Rattus norvegicus: one gene and its partners. The protein of the gene in region 1 purifies or fractionates together with the protein of each later gene. This does not show direct contact. Links are inferred from orthologs where the notes say so. Each region holds a gene or a part of one and is shown in the gene's direction. Other genes may lie near its edges.

Region 1 (4,192 bases):
TTGCCTGGAGCCTCTCAGAACACGGGGTCATTTAAGTTGTATCCACATTCCACACTTCCAAGGCCTGTGATAAAGCCCTACTTTGCTTGATTTCTAAGATTCTCCACTGCAACTGAGCTCTTTTCCTCCATTGCAGAAGGCCAATCAAGCTGGATCTATTAAACTCTGGATTTGTTTCTGGAGGTGCTAGGATGTTCCAGTGAGCTCAGCAGGTCATTTACCCAGCCAAGTCTGAAAACCAGAAAAAAGGTTTCTAAATGTTGTTGAAGTTTTCCCTTGCAGCACCTCAGAACCATTTCCACATAGAGTTTTTGTGGTATTTATCTTCGGAAAAGAGAATGCTAAGTCATTTGTTTTTTAAGTGCAAGTGGTGGTTGAAGCCAGGGCCTCCTGCTTTCTAAGCAAGCACACTAGCAGACTTATGACTCCAGCCCGGGGAGTGGTTTTCTTAGATATGTAACCCAACGTATTAATATCTAGGTCAGTGTTTCTCAACCTTCCTAATGCTGAGACCCATTAATACAGTTCATGTTGTGGTGACCCCAAGCATAAAATTATTTCATCACTATTTCATAACTATAATTTTGCTACTGTTATAGATAGCAATATAAAAACCTGCTATGTTATTCCAAAAGTGGTTGCAACCCACAGGTTGAGAACGGCCGATCTAGGCCTTTAAAGACACTCTTAAGGAACAAGTGCTACAACAGCATTCCTCTGGTGTTGCAGCTAAGTTGGGTTTCCCATTGGTCAGGGAAGTGGGACCTCAAATTCACCAAATACCTTTGGGAAACAGTGGCTCACCTGTCAAGTGATGTCAAGCTCGGGGCAGCTAAAGGTGACAAGTGACGGGGAGGTTCTTCTTCCAACCCACCCAGCAGTTCCATATTTCTTGGAAAACTTCTCACATTACCTGAAAGAAACTTCCCCCTTCTTTGTTATGTCTGAACAATGCTCGCGGGGTGGGTTACTGCTGCACCCCGGCCATGCCCCACCCTAAATTCAAATCTCCCCGGTTTTGGCAAGGCGATCTAAAACAGAAACAAAATAAAACCCAAGGGTGCATCAGTAATCATTTTTTCTCTAAGGCCAAATGAAAGCACTCTTCTTTTTAGGGATCTGGTCTCAAACTAAATTGAACATCACCATTAACTGGTTAAAACTAACTTCTCCAAAGAAAAAGAGATAAGTAAACCTTCCTGTGCTCTGAGAAATTCTGTAGCGGCCTTGGCGCTATTCAACTTGCAGGAAAACTCGATCTGAAGTCCTAAACCAGCAGCTGAGGTGGAGCCGGCCATAGCCGGCGGCCGGTCGCAGGCTTGGATTGGCTGCTGGGCGTCGCCCCGCGCCTGCGCAGTGTTCCGCCCGCCCGCCCAGCTTGCCGCCAGCCTGGGCACTAAGGCCTTTGAGGGTGTGAGTGTCAGCTGGCCCGGAGGCCGGCGAGCTGCCGGGACAGGATAGTGGGCCGAGCCATAGGCCCCGGCTGTCCCTCCCGGAAAGAAAAGAAGGAGCCGCTCGCCAGTCCCGGCAGCCTGCAGAGATCGGTGAGGGAGACGCTGAGGAGCACTGAGGCGCTGTGGGCGCTGCCGCCATGACCGCCATGATGGAGCGGAAGTGAACTAAGGGCGCGGGCTGCCGGTGATAGCGCTTTGGTCTAGCTGCCTGGGGCTCGCAGCGCTGCGGAGCCCGGGCCTTCGGGTCCTCGCGACCCCTGCTTCTTGGCTCCCGTCGCTTATCCCACTGAGCGGCGGGGAGTGGCTCCCGGCCTGCAGTCCCGGCTGCCAGAAAGATGGCGGACCCGGCGGAGTGCAACATCAAAGTGATGTGTCGCTTCAGACCTCTCAACGAGTCTGAAGTGAACCGCGGCGACAAGTATGTCGCCAAGTTCCAGGGAGAAGACACGGTGATGATTGCGGTGAGTGGCCCTGTCCCCACGTCACTCGGGGTCGGGCAGGGCGGTGAGTTCTGGGACGTGGCCGGTCGCAAGGACCAGAGGGAGCAGGGAGTGCTCATTCTCCCGAGCCGGGTTTGCGGGTTCACACGGCCAGGGAGGAACGAGCTATGTTGAGGCAACTCTGTGAAGGTTCGAGGATCACCCCCCACCCCAGTGCTAAGCTCTGGCAGCTGGGAGGTGTCTTGTTTCTCAGTCTGGACACTCCCCCACCTGGGGCTCTGGAGGCTACGTCCCAGGAGCTAGTTTAGTGCACGTTCACTCGCGCGCTCGTGTGTGTGTAGATATGCTTGTTTCTCACATGTTCACCCTCTCTGTTTTTCATGTTAACAGTAATTGGGAAATTGAAGTCTGTAAAAAGAGCTAGTGGCTTTTCATTGAAATTAGAGTTAATTGTCTCTAATGTTATAGGAGGTCTAAGTAGATTTAGATTGGGCCAAATAAGTGTCAGAAAGATCTAGAATTTCATTCTTTAGCGTGTTTTAACATTGTAGGAAAGATAGGTATAACGGAGACATAGTGTTGTAAAGACCTTATGGGAATCTAATCACCGTTATTAGATTCATGTTAATACAGATATAGTCTATCTTAAAGGAAATTGATCATGGTAATCTGAGAGGCAGCAACTACTCCATTGTAGTGTAAAATGTAACTGAGCTGATTGATTATTATTAGAAAAACCTGAAAGGGAAGATTTTTTTTTTATATAGCTAGCATTGCAGATTCTCCGAAAACAGCATTCTGAGTTCAAGATTAAAAGTGACTGATAAGATTGCCTCTATATACAGAACAGCAAGCTAAACTAAAAAGTAAGCGCATCATTAGTGATGATGCCATGGGCATTGCTATTAGGATTCAATTGTTAATGTCAGTTTTACTCGTAATTGTTTGTTCTTGAGTAGAAATCTATATTTAGTATATTGTTTGAGCTACTTAATTTAGAAATAGGGCAGAGAGGTCACGGAAGACTGGCCATTGATGATTGAAAGCATTGGCCTGATGGTAATACTAAAGTTCTCTAGTGGGTGTGTTAATGTGAAGGTTTTCAAAGTTCAGTTTGGGAAATGTACTACATCCTCCTGGTAGGGTTATGGCAGGAAAAAAAAGTATATATATCAGGTCACTAACCCCAACTACTGCTGTGTGAAGACTGTCAGGCCAGTTCTTTGTTAATGAGTTCTCAAGATGCTCTTGCTATAAAAGACATCATAGTAAAGAAGGGAAGTTAATTGAGCATAGGAATTCTGTTCTTTAGTGCACAGAGACCAGAGTGGAAGGTGGTTAGGTGTATGTTGTGCCTGCAGTCCTTAGCAGATTAGTTCCCAACTTGAGGCTTCTTATTCCTTAGCATCTCTGATTATTCAGTTTTAGCAATGATTTATACAATAAAGATATATTTCATTTGCCACTATTATTAAGATGGTCTTAATTCTCTGAGTTTTTGTGCATGCTTTAAAAATTTTGTAAATATCACTAAGATTTGTTTTGCTTGGAATGCCAAAATTTAAGATTTTGTATTAAGTTTATGTAATCATAGCACGTGTGAGCCTGAGACAAGAGGATTGTGGCCATAATACATGCAACAAAAGATAGCCCCCACTACAGAAAACACATTTATTTTAGGTCCTTTCCTTTGGGAAAAGTTATCATGATTTCTGTTTGAAAGTTTCTGTAATACAAGTGGGTTTAACCAATGAATAGAAACTTAGGTAGAGGATGAGTAAAAAGTATAGGGGAAAGTACATTTTAAAACTAAAGGAAACATTGAGGACACTAAAAAGATACTTAATATATTTCAATTATTGTTTTAGAAATTGATTTCTTACATGTATTACCCATATTTATATGATGAAGTCTTTGTGTTCAATTTTTAAAAGACTATTTAAGAAGTTATAAGGGGTTTAAGGAATGAAATGAAAGTCTCTATGCCAAAGAGCCAGATTGAAAAAAATTGTAAAAACATGATTTATTTAACTTAATTTATTGGATCCTAAACATGATAAATTAGAACTAGTTTAGGAGAGAATTGCAACAGCATAGCATGTAAAACTAGAGTGTTTTAAGTATGATATTTAGGTATTTTGTTCATTATCTTTAAGTTAAGTCAAAATTTAAGATCTAAATGTGTTAGTTTATAATGTCAACTGAGTGGTAGTCACTGTTCAGATAAAAAATAATTGGATAGAAAATAATTGGGGATTCTGCTTTTCTTCTAAGTTTAGCTTTTAATATTTTGCCCAA
Region 2 (3,543 bases), on another chromosome or scaffold:
CAATGACACCACTGCAAACCAAAGACACTAGTCTGACCTCATTATCTGGTCAGCAGTATCCACCCAATGTTCCCTTCAGGGACATGGGTCTTCTCCCTACCCCACCGATCTCCACATGCTCCTTTCCACCTCTTTCTCCCTTTTAACCAGAAGCCTCCTTCTGTTCCCTCACAAAGCAAACCTAGATGCTGAGAATTCCCTAGAGATACAATCAACTCCGAAGCCTGAAAGAGGTGCGTCTCTAGAGATAAAAAAGCACGGAGGCGAGGGTAAAGTCAGATGCGTGAGAGGGGGGTAATGACAGCACCCACCTCACAGCCCTTTGTGTGAGCACTGTTAATGCACTAAGACATCAACAAAAACATTGGACAAATAGCCGTCAATCAATAGGGACTGATTCGCTCTGGAATCTGAGGAGGTCGGCCTTTTCCTTGATCCTCAGTCATGCGGGTCCCGACTCTGAACGCCCCAGACCAGGAAGCTCTGGTCGGAGGGGCGAGTCCAGCCACGCCCCTTCTGCGTCCTGTCTGGGTTGGCCCCACCCCGAAGCCGGCCAGGCCCATGGGGCCCCTTTAAGGCAGCGAGCTGGCCGGCTGGAACGTGTTTCGCCCCCTCCGACGCCGCCGAGGTAGCGGCTTCACCTTTAAGGCGGCGCGGGGACTGCTGGGAAGGCCGGCGGGATGGAGGCAGCGAGACGAGCTCACGGTCGAGGATCCGGGTGAAGCGGGACAGGAGCAAGAGCCAGAGCCGGACCAAAGCAGAAGGTGCAGGTCGGCGCGGGCCGGTTGGGCCGGGAGACCCGGTCAGGCCGGACGGTGAGAAGCGGTTGCAGGTCGGCCTAGAGGAGGAGTCGTCGTGGGCGCGGCCTGTGGGAGGACCCGACCGGTCTGCGGGGAGGGGGCGCGGTCCTGGGCTGGGGTTGGGAATTAGGCCTTTTCTAGGGAGGGTCCGCAGGCCTTTGGCCAGCCTGTGGGAGGGGTCGTTGTGGGCGCGGCCTGCAGAAACCTGTCCCGAAACTGAAGACCGCAGCCTCCCTGGAGGGTGGAGGCGGGGACCCGGTGTCTGGGCTCCGTCTGCCCTGGGGGAGGGGGTCATGGTTCCGGTTGCCCTGGGGAAGGGGCTGTAGCCCGGGCTGAGACCCAGTAGCCCGGAGGGCCTGTAGTTTCTGACTTGGGAACGCCTTACAATGCCCTAGTGCTCTGCGTCTTGATTAGGACAGTTCCGGAAAAAAACCCCAAGGCTGGGCTTTACATAAACTGGCCTGAGCCGGTGGTCGGGGCGGAATCAGGGTCCAGCCTCACTTCAGCCACACCGCAATGCGTCTCCCTAGGCTAGACGAGCCTGACGCGCCCCCTGTAGGTCGCGTGCGGGCACCGCGAGGACTGCGGGCTGAGGGATCTGTACACCCTTTGGGACCTGGGCGTCTGGGGACCTCCAGGTGTTTACCTAACTTGGGGTGGACGGCGGTATGGCCCCAGGCCCGGCGTCCGCCTGCCCCACCCCTTGCCTCCACAGACCGCAAGACCATGGCCACGATGGTGCTTCCTCGAGAGGAGAAGCTGAGTCAGGACGAGATAGTACTGGGCACCAAGGCGGTTATCCAGGGTTTAGAGACCCTTCGAGGGGAGCATCGTGCCCTGCTAGCTCCCCTAGCTTCTCATGAGGCAGGCGAGGCCGAGCCGGGCTCACAGGAGCGCTGCCTCCTCCTGCGCCGCTCCCTGGAGGCCATCGAGCTGGGGCTTGGGGAGGCTCAGGTAGGTCAGTGTTGGGGCTATGGTGGAAGATTACTGGAAGGGTCCTGGTAATGTAGGAATACCCTCAGCAAGGAAACACTTATCTCTTAGAGCGTCACGTTAGGACAATAAGTAATGTTAAATGAATACACTTTGGAAATGCCACCTTACACAGAGCTGTGCCATTCAGGCCTCATTCTACCTAACAGACTGGATGACAGAAGAAAACAGAAATGCTTTAGTAACCTCCCTTCACAATTCAATTATGCATTAATTCATTAAGTTCTATAGCTTATCATTTAGCATGTGCCATGGCAGTATGTTAACGCTGAGGATGCAGAGGTCAGCAAGGCAGACAAGATCTTTGTCCTCACTGGGCATGGTGTCTGTAATCCCAGCACTTGAGAGGTGAAAGCAGTAAGGTTCCAAGCTCCAGGCCAGTCCTGGTTCAGCTTACTGCTCCCTCCAAAACAAATTAAGATGATTTTCCCCTAATACAACAGAAGAAAAACACGCACACATAGTCAACTAATTACTTGAAGCAAATTGTGATCGGTGCCCCAAGGACAACAAGATCTCGTGATAGTTTATAGAAGGGAGTCTTGTCTATCGCTCAAACAATACTTCTCTGAGAGGACTTTAACTCAAGCACTGAGGGAAGAAACGGGCTGGCCTCCAGAAGAGGCAACTAGAGGAGAGCTGCGTGTGTAGGAAAGGTAGGAAAAGTCCATGTGCTGAAGTGAGACAAGACTAGTATAACGGAGAGGGAGAAAGGGGCACTCGAGGCCTTTGTGGAAGCAGGAGCCAGAATATGTCCAGGCTGTCAGGAAGTCAGTGGAGGGTACTAACAAGCAGAAGATGTAGTCTGACTTAACTTCTGAAATTTCTTTATGAACTATGGAAAGTTAACTTTAGTAGGTCAAGGATGGACTCTTGGAACAAGTGATTAGGAAGCCACTGCTAGGCTCCAAATAGATGGAAGTTTGAATTAGAGGGGTAGCCAAGGAGACACCAGTTCTAGATATTCTGGAAGGAGGCTCAACAGGACCTGGGGATGAAGGTCAGAGGAGCAGCACAACTCCTGGGTGTTTGTGCTTTTAGCAAGTTTAGGGATGTAAGGCTATGGAGCTTTTAGGAGTTCTGTTGAGGTCCCCATATAGTGGGCTGTTAGATAGGGAAGGGTTTTGTTCTCATTGGTTCTTAGCCAATCCACTGCCTGGATCCAGAGAGCTTGTATTGTCTTGATTTCTTTGTCTTTAAAATAGCAAGCCAGGGGGTTGGGGATTTAGCTCAGTGGTAGAGCAAGCGCAAGGCCCTGAGTTCGGGTCCCCAGCTCCGGAAAAAAAAAAGAAGCAAGCCAGGCATGGTGGCACATACCTTTAATCCCAGCTCTTGGGAAGCAGAGACAGACAGATCTCTTTTTTTTTTTTTTTTTTTTTGGTTCTTTTTTTCGGAGCTGGGGACTGAACCCAGGGCCTTGCGCTTCCTAGGCAAGCGCTCTACCACTGAGCTAAATCCCCAGCCCCCAGACAAATCTCTTAAATTCAAGGCCAGCCTTGTCTACAGAATGAGTTCCAGGACAGACAGAAAAACTGTCTCAAAAACCCAAACCAACCCCTCGACCCCTCCCCCACCCCCCAAAAAAACATAGTGGCTGTGCCGTGTACTGTATGTACTTCCAGGTCGTCGAGGACTTGTTTGTTTTGGTTTTGAGACAGGGTCTCTACATAGCCCTAACTATCCTGGAACTCACTATGTAGACCAAGCTGGCCATGAACTCACAGAGATCCACCTGCCTCCTGAGTGCTGG
Region 3 (4,068 bases), on another chromosome or scaffold:
CAGGACCTCTGGAAGAACAGTCAATGCTCTTAACCACTGAGCCATCTCTCCAGACCCCAATAATTTCTTTTTTTCTGTGATTCACCATTGCCCACTTCAGACCCACTGGTTGACATTCCCTAATATCAGCCACAACCTATCCACACATTAAAATGGTTAAGAGCACTGGTTCTGGTGTGAGGTGTGTAGGTCAGAGGTAAAAGTGCACAGCATGAGCAAGGCTCTAGGTTTAATTTGAAGTACGAGAGCAAAAACAAAAGCAAGCTCTGAAGTCAGTCTGTCAAGTCCCAGAAGGTGTAAGACTTAGACTGTTGACCAGTGTTCTCATCTGCAAAATGTGCACAACTTTCAGGAGTTCCTTTAATTCAGTCCTCTATTCTGCTTGGTTTGCGGTTGGCACATTAATGTTACCATTGCAACCTGTTTAGTAAAGATTTGCAAAAGTACTTGGAAGCCAGTATCTCGCTGACGAATGGAGCTTTCGGAGAGAGCAGCATTTACAAACAGCAAAGGATGAAGGCAAGTTTACCCAAGGTCACGTGATCCCGACTAGCCTTGAGGGATCACTGACACCCCAGGCGGATTTTATTTCCCAGGTAAGCGGATTACCTGGCCAACAGGAAGCAGAGTCGGAACCCGGGCGGTAATGGCCGGGGATGCCAGGCTCAAGGAGCGCAGAGCACTAGCCAGCGCGCACAGGGCCATGGAATGGTCAGATTCCTCCGTACAGAACTCGCTTTTACCTTTACCCAGAGCCTGGTGCTCTTAAATGACGTTTCATTCGGGGTACCGTCGCTTTTCAATGACGTAAGAGAGGCGGGCACAGAAGTGCAGCGCCGTAAGATACAAGCTTTCTTTCCTCCCTAGAACAAGTTCTTAGCCAATCATTGGAAGGCACTGAGGTCACATGATGGAAGACAGTCCCCGCCCCTCAGAGCCGTCAAAACAATTGCCTCGAGCGGCAGCCATGATATATTTAAAGGAGCAGTACCCACGAAGGCGGCAGCGGGACCAGCAGACTGCAGGTGAGTCTTTGGGAGTACCCCTGGGGCTGAGAATTAAGATTACACTAACTCTTATTCCCACATTCTGGGACAAATGAGTAAGTCACTTCCTACTAACCACACAAAACTTCAGACTGACTCAAAAACTCCGCCCCCCGCGATTCTTCCCCGCCCCTCGGCGTCCAGACAGACAGTAGGACAACCTGCCCCGCCCCCTGTGGGAACCCCTGACTCCGTGACCTCGAGCTTGTCCGCTGTCGGGTCTTGGTCAGCGACTCTGCCCTCACTTCCACCTTCCTCTCCCCTCAGCCCTCGAAGATCTTACTTCTGTCCTTACCCTCGGCTCTCAGGGCAAGTTAGGACCCTTAGACACTCCTGATTGTAGGCCCCCAGGCTTGGATAGCCTGCGCTCAGCGCCTTTCTCTATGACCCCACTGTGCACGGCAGATCTGCTACGCTTCCCTGGACCATCCGGCACTTGAGAGGCAACTTAAGGTGCCTGTTAGGTGATTATGTCAGACAAAGCCATGAAAGGCGGCTATTGCGGTAATCCAGTCGGGAATCTGTAACCAGGTCTCCCTTTAACAGGCACACCACACCCATTGCTTCAGGTCTCAGATTAAATCGGTCTTTCTTTCCCTTATTGGGAGAAAGTAACTCCTCAGAGCTAGAACGAGGAGATTGAGGAAGAAGGGACATTAGTACGAGTCTCTGAAGAACCTGTAGGCTGAAGGAGGGAGGGTGTTTGTCCTGGGTGGGGCTCTGTGCCAGGTCCTCTGGGAGGCTGTGAGGTGGTGACAGAGAAGGGGTGGGACTGCCGGACTTCTGGACTTTGGGCAGTACAAATCCTTCTAAATCCTTAGTTGCAGGTCAGAGTTTCTTCCGGGCTCTGGCCTGGGAGCCACCTGAAACCAAGGGCTTCTGCTCTGTACACAGGTAAGGAGACTTCGGAAATGAGTTTGGAGGAAGTAGGAAGACAGTCTGAATTCTGGGGGTGGGGTGGGCTGGGAAAGTTAGTTGGAAAGGAGTTTAGCAGGTCGGGAGGTGCTGGGCTTAGTCCCTTGCTGATGCAGTCTGAAGACCTTCAACCTTCCAAGCCCTGTAATAACCACTGCTGTTTCCTCTCCCCCTCCTTCACTAAGCTTGGGTCCTTCCCCTTTATATTGGGACAGTGCTTTCTGCACAGCTCTTCCACCCGCCCTCTGTGATCCTTACAGTGCTTCACATCCCCTGCTTCCTTTTCCTAACCCATGCTCTCTCTCCAATTGCCAAGTCCTAAATTCCTCTAGCTCTAAGCCCGCCCGATTGTTCTAAAGATCTTTATTGAAGTTCATTCCTCTCCCTCACCTTACTTTTACGGTTAGTGCGGTGGAATTTCCTCCTCTTTACCTAGGCCCTTTCGTCAGCTTAGTCATGGGGGTCTCCCATCCTCTTCCCTTCGTGTGGATGCCCACCAGTCTCTAACATTGTGTCTTTCGTCGTTTCCACCTGAACTCTGTGGTTTCTCTTTAGCTGAGGATGTCAGGCCTGGTATTGGGGCAGCGGGATGAGCCTGCAGGGCACCGGCTCAGTCAAGAGGAGATCTTGGGCAGTACCAGGTTGGTGAGCCAAGGGCTGGAGTCCCTACACAGTGAGCACCAGGCTGTGCTACAGAGCCTGTCCCACACCATCGAGTGTCTGCAACAGGGAGGCCATGAGGAAGGACTGGTGCATGAGAAAGCCCGGCAGCTGCGACGGTCTATGGAGAACATTGAGCTGGGACTCAGCGAGGCCCAGGTAAGAATCAGGGGTGATACCAAGTGTTCCAGTTATCTGATGCAAGTTTGGGGTCACCTTGTCCTAGAAACTTGGATTTGTTAATTCATTAAATATTCATTAAGTGACTACTGTGTGTCTCAACTCTTGTGAATGCTGGTGGTGCATTACAGAACAACACTGAGTAATTCCTCTCTGAGCTGATATTATAGCTGGGGGGATAGCTAGAACACAGGTCCATAAGTAAATGATTTACTGTGCCAGAGTAATCATTGCTGAGGACAGAACAAAGACAAAGACAGAAGGGAAGGAGCTGGAGAGATGGCGCTGGCTGCTCTTCCAGAGGTCCTGAGTTCAATTCCCAGCAATGGTGGCTCACAACCATCTGTAATGGGACCCGATGCCCTCTTCTGGTATGTCTGAAGAGAATGTAGTCATAGACATAAAATAAATAAATCTTTAAGAAAGGAGGGAAGTAGGAAGAGGATGCATTTTCACACAGATTGGTCATAAAATAACCTCACTTTTGAGCAAAGATTTGAGGGTGAAAAAGGAAGTCATGGGATAAAGGGTTCCAAGCAGGTAGGACAGGTGCAAAGGCTTTGCGTGGAGCCTGGGGTGAATTTAGTGATTTACAGCGCTGGTGTGGCTTTCTACAGGGTACACAGTGAGTGAGGGGACACAGTAGATCACTCCGGAGGAGGAAGGATCCCATCAGAGACATCCACAGATAGTGTGGAGCCGGCAGGCTGTCCTGGGGTTTTTTGCTTGTCTGTTGAGAGAGATGGGAGCTGTTGGGACGTCTGAGGAGGGATGGGACTCAGCCTGGGAGAGAGTAGAACTAGAGACTAACAGAGACAGGGAGGCCTGGGAGAGGCTGCTATTGTCTAGGTAGGAACTGGCAGTTTGGCATCTGATGAAAACAATAGGGGTGCTGGCAGCTGGGGTTAGTTTATGTATTTAATTCCGTTCATTCATTTATGGATTTAGTTATTTATTTTATGTATATGAGTATACTGTCACTCTCTTCAGACACACCAGAAGACAGCATTGGATCCCATTACAGATGGTTGTGAGTCACCATGTGGGTGCTGGGAATTAAACTCAGGACCTCTGGAAGAGCGGTCAGTGCTCTGAGCCTCTGACCCATCGCTCCAGCCCGAGTATTTCTCTTTTTTAATTCCATTCATTTATTTTATATATACAGGTGTTTTGTCTGCATCTATGAGTATATGCTACCTGTAATCTAGTATGTGCAGAGGCCAGAAGAGGCCATTGGAGCCTCTGGAACTGGAGTTACAGGTGGCTG
Region 4 (4,018 bases), on another chromosome or scaffold:
ATGTCTGCACATGTTCCATCCATGCATGTGGAGGCCAGGCTCTCCTTGGACGACTCCTGAACAATTCCCAGGAGTCAGTTTTCAGGCTCCATTTGGTTCTTGGAGATGAAACTCAGGTTCTCAAGCATGGCAGATAGCGTTTTTACTACCGTCTTGTCAGCCGGAAAGAAACTGTTGTGTAAGGTTCTGAGGTTGCAATTATTGAAACAGTATTTTTGGAGGTTTTTATCTTTATGTGCATGCTGTGTCTGTGGAGGCCCTGGAAGAGGGTGCTGAATCCCCCGGAACTAGAGTTACAGATGATTTTGAGCAACATGTGTGGGTTCTGGGAATTGAACCTGGGTCCTCTGCAAAAGCAGCCAGCGTTCTTACCTTAGGAGCCATCCTTCCAGCCCCTTCAAGAAAGTTCTTTTTTTCTTTTTTCTTTTTTTCGGAGCTGGGGACCGAACCCAAGGCCTTGCGCTTGCTAGGCAAGCGCTCTACCACTGAGCTAAATCCCCAACCCAAGAAAGTTTTAATTACGTTTTTATGTGTTTACTTCATATGTGTGAACGTATGACTGTACACATGTAGAAGTCAGAAGACAACATGTGAGAGCCCGTCTCTGTCCACCCTGAGGGTCTCAGGGATGGAACTCAGCCCCTCAGGATTGGCGGTAAGCACCTTTACTGTCTGAGCCTTCTCGCAGGACCCCAGACAGAGTTTACAAAAGTTCTTAAACTGCAGGCTTCTCCTACTGCAGCGGCGTAGGGCGTGCCCTGAGCACCTACAGGGGCGTGGCCTCCACCCGCCCCCGCCCCACCCCGATCCTAGACTGAGGATTTCTCAATGTGTGTCGACCGAGGGCGTGGCCTGCGCACCTGCGGGGGCGTGGCCTTGCCCTGCCCCATCCCCCTCAGGAGCCTCCCGGACCAGCGGCTTCGCAGCGGGAGCAGTCGGGTCTCCGCGCAGCGAGGCGGTTCAGACCGGCGGCCGTCAGGTGGGCACGGGAGACGGCGGCGGCTGCTTCGGGATTCCCGAGGGGGCCGCAGGGATGGAGAGAAGGGGCTATGGGTCTGGCGGCTCGGATGAGCCTCGGGGTCCCCGCGGGGCCCTGCCCCGCCCCTAGCCGGGTAGAAAAACAGCTGCGGGCGGGGCGGGGCCTTGTGACGCGAAGTACGGTGCAGGGTCTCCGCGGCCAGGGGAGAGGCTGGCGCGCTGTTGGAGAGTCCCCAGCTGCAGCCTGAGAGTGCAAGACGTGCATGGTGAGGGAGCCTGCGCGGGGGTGTGCAAAGAGAGGGAGTAAGGCAAGGGACACTGTGGAAACTGAGGCGGGGAGAACGGAGTTGAAGGCGAGCCTAGGCTTCGTACTCAAGGGAGACAGGAGGGTGGATTGTGGGTACAAGTGTCAAAGGGAGGAAGAAAAAGAAAAGGGGGAGAGAACCAACAAGGAGAGTAAAAGCACTTGTTGCCAAACTGTCAATTTCTCGAGTTTGGTCTGCAGGATCCACAAGGTGGGAGAAAAGAATGGACTCCCTTAAGTTGCAAGTTGTCCTCTGACCTTCCATGTGCCTCTGCCATACATAAAGGGAAAAAAATTAAATAAGGACCAGGCATCATGATGCACACCTTTAATCACAGCACTTGGGGGTGGGGGGTGGGGGCACAGAGGCAGATGGATTTCTGAATTTGAGGCCAGGTTGAGGGAATTCCAGGACAGCCAGGGCTACATAGAGAAGCTCTGTTTATATATTAAAGAAACTCTGTATCAATATATACATATATATACATATGTATATGTAAATTATATATCTTTTTTAAAGTAAGAAAGATTGTGGGTAAGAGTGTAAGAGTGTAAAAGGGAGATAGGTTACCATGTCACTCTGATGGGGACAGACCGAGTGAATGTAGGTGATCTTGTCTAATTGTCTCTGTGTGTGTGTGTGTGTGTGTGTGTGTGTGTGTGTTACATGTGGACTGTGCACAGTACTGAGCATGTGCGACTGAGATGCTGAGTCTGTGATCAGCTCTGTACTTGAGGCTGATTCACACGTATGACCATGGGTGACAGGGAATGGGCTGCCTAATGGGGTTGGATCTAGGTGTTATGTGACAGTTGGGGTGGAGTGTGTGGAATTGTGTCAGCGATATGTGACTGTCACTGACTAACTGTTGACTTTCTGGTTGTGTATCCCTGGGGTGGGGATCTGTGTGTGGGGGGGTATGAGTGTGACTGTGTCTGCAAGCTGGGGTTTGCATAGGTGTGTGTGTGTGCGTGCACGCTGTGTGCCTGCTGTGGACTGGTGAAACTCTCATGGGGCTCCTGTGAATGCTGGGGACAGCTCGAGTGGCAGATGGCTGCAGCTGAGCTGTGGCTGTCCCATGATTGTTGATCTGGGTATCAAGCTGTGGGAAGCTGCATATGGAGCAAAGGCTTCCTTGGGTCTGAGATTGTGCCATGGGGTGGTGACCCTGGCCACACTGGGGCAGAATGACTGGAGTCAGGATGGCTCACCCTGAGCTTGTGTGGTAAAGAGACTGACTACATGGTTTGTGAGGTTGAGCCCACTCGGGTTCCACACGCTCTCACCATGACCTTATTTATGTGTCTCTATATATGGTTTTGGTTTTGTTTGTAGAGATGAAGTGACCCTGAACACCGGATCCTCCCATTTCTTTTCTTTTCTTTTTTTTTTTTTTCCGGAGCTGAGGACCGAACCCAGGGCCTTGTGCTTGCTAGGCAAGCGCTCTACCACTGAGCTAAATCCCCAACCCCGATCCTCCCATTTCTGACTCTGAGTATTGGGATGACAGGTGGGAGAGGCCACATCTGGGGAGAAGTTGAAATGATTTTTTGGTTTTGTTTTGGTTTTGGTTTTTAGACAGAACTCACTCTGTAGACCAGGCTGGCTTTGGACTCAACGAAATCTTCCTGCCTCTGCCTCCTGAGTTGCTGGGCTTAAAGGTGTGACCACCATTCCTCTCCAGAGTCATAACCTGGTGGTACCCAGTTAGACCATTGGAATTAAGGTTTTGACTTTTTTTTTTTTTTTCCAGAGCTGGGGACTGAACCCAGGGCCTTGCGCTTGCTAGGCAAGTGCTCTACCACTGAGCTAAATCCCCAACCCCAAGGTTTTGACTTTTTAAAGCCTTTGGAAAAGCTGCTCACAAAGTAGAAAGTGTATTTCAGAGTTTGAAGTTGGGTCTCTTTTTGGGCTGGAATGCTGCAGGAGCACACACACACACACACACACACACACACACACGCACATGCATACACACGCACATGCATACACACACACACCTACTTGTTACTCTGAGATTTAGAAAACGCTGCTTCAGGCAGTCCCAAAATCATCAGAGGAAGTGGGGTGGGCACTGGACTCTGTGTGGAGCAGAGGATTATCTCTTTAAAAACTACATGTATTCAGCCCAACAGAGGTGGCTCATGCCTTTAATCCCAGCTCTTGGGAGGTAGAGGCAGGTGAATCTCTGAGTTCAAGGCCAGCCGGGTCTATAGAGTGAGTTCCAGGACAGCTAGGGCTACGCAGAGAAACGCTGTGTTGGAAACCAAACAAACAATAAACAAGCCCTCGACTAGTGCTGTCTGCCTGTACCAGTGCTTGAGGCGGCACAGGAAGGTTTAGCCAAGGATGGCTTGGAACCCCGATTTGAGAGCTCAGATCCCAGATTTGTACCATATGCCCATCCATCAACTTTTTATTTTTCCCTTATGGTATTAGGGATGGAATCCAGGGCCTTGGCAATGTTTGTCTAGCTGTGTTCCCAGTGTCTCCTTTTTCTTTTAAGATTTTTTTCTTTTTGAGGCAGAGTTTTTCTGTGTAGCTCTGGCTATCCTGGAACTCGAATTGTAGTCCAGGCTGGCCTGAACTCAGAGAGGCCTCTGCCTCCCACGTGTTGGGATTAAAAACGTGCCACTACCCCTTGCTACGATTTATTTTTATTTTATGTACATGAGCGTTTGCTTACAAGCATGTGTGTGCAGGAGGTGTGTGCAATACCCACATGGCCAGAAGAG

Evidence for each region. Proteins that work in one complex are often made in the same cells at the same time.
Region 2: the proteins of Kif5b (region 1) and Klc2 fractionate together in Homo sapiens (co-fractionation; 7 studies listed by BioGRID and IntAct, with this or other methods). This does not show direct contact. The link is inferred for Rattus norvegicus from reciprocal best matches to the Homo sapiens genes KIF5B and KLC2.
Region 3: the proteins of Kif5b (region 1) and Klc4 purify together in Homo sapiens (affinity purification with mass spectrometry; 4 studies listed by BioGRID and IntAct, with this or other methods). This does not show direct contact. The link is inferred for Rattus norvegicus from reciprocal best matches to the Homo sapiens genes KIF5B and KLC4.
Region 4: the proteins of Kif5b (region 1) and Klc3 purify together in Homo sapiens (affinity purification with mass spectrometry; 3 studies listed by BioGRID and IntAct, with this or other methods). This does not show direct contact. The link is inferred for Rattus norvegicus from reciprocal best matches to the Homo sapiens genes KIF5B and KLC3.

The regions. Positions count from the first base shown.
Region 1 is NC_086035.1:56,184,000-56,188,191, forward strand, and holds the start of Kif5b (kinesin-1 heavy chain), read left to right. Parts: upstream 1-1,386; 5' UTR 1,387-1,789; coding exon 1,790-1,915; intron 1,916-4,192. UniProt on the Homo sapiens protein: Microtubule-dependent motor required for normal distribution of mitochondria and lysosomes. Can induce formation of neurite-like membrane protrusions in non-neuronal cells in a ZFYVE27-dependent manner.
Region 2 is NC_086019.1:211,851,158-211,854,700, reverse strand, and holds the start of Klc2 (kinesin light chain 2), read left to right. Parts: upstream 1-1,485; intron 1,486-1,515; 5' UTR 1,516-1,526; coding exon 1,527-1,754; intron 1,755-3,543. Other genes in the region: WW domain-binding protein 11-like, read right to left, coding at 439-1,095. UniProt on the Homo sapiens protein: Kinesin is a microtubule-associated force-producing protein that plays a role in organelle transport. The light chain functions in coupling of cargo to the heavy chain or in the modulation of its ATPase activity.
Region 3 is NC_086027.1:21,833,870-21,837,937, forward strand, and holds the start of Klc4 (kinesin light chain 4), read left to right. Parts: upstream 1-1,265; 5' UTR 1,266-1,499; exon of another isoform or gene 1,500-1,510; intron 1,511-1,867; 5' UTR 1,868-1,940; intron 1,941-2,516; 5' UTR 2,517-2,522; coding exon 2,523-2,780; intron 2,781-4,068. Other genes in the region: Mrpl2 (large ribosomal subunit protein uL2m precursor), read right to left, coding at 610-705.
Region 4 is NC_086019.1:88,180,620-88,184,637, reverse strand, and holds the start of Klc3 (kinesin light chain 3), read left to right. Parts: upstream 1-1,215; 5' UTR 1,216-1,244; intron 1,245-4,018. UniProt on the Homo sapiens protein: Kinesin is a microtubule-associated force-producing protein that may play a role in organelle transport. Plays a role during spermiogenesis in the development of the sperm tail midpiece and in the normal function of spermatozoa.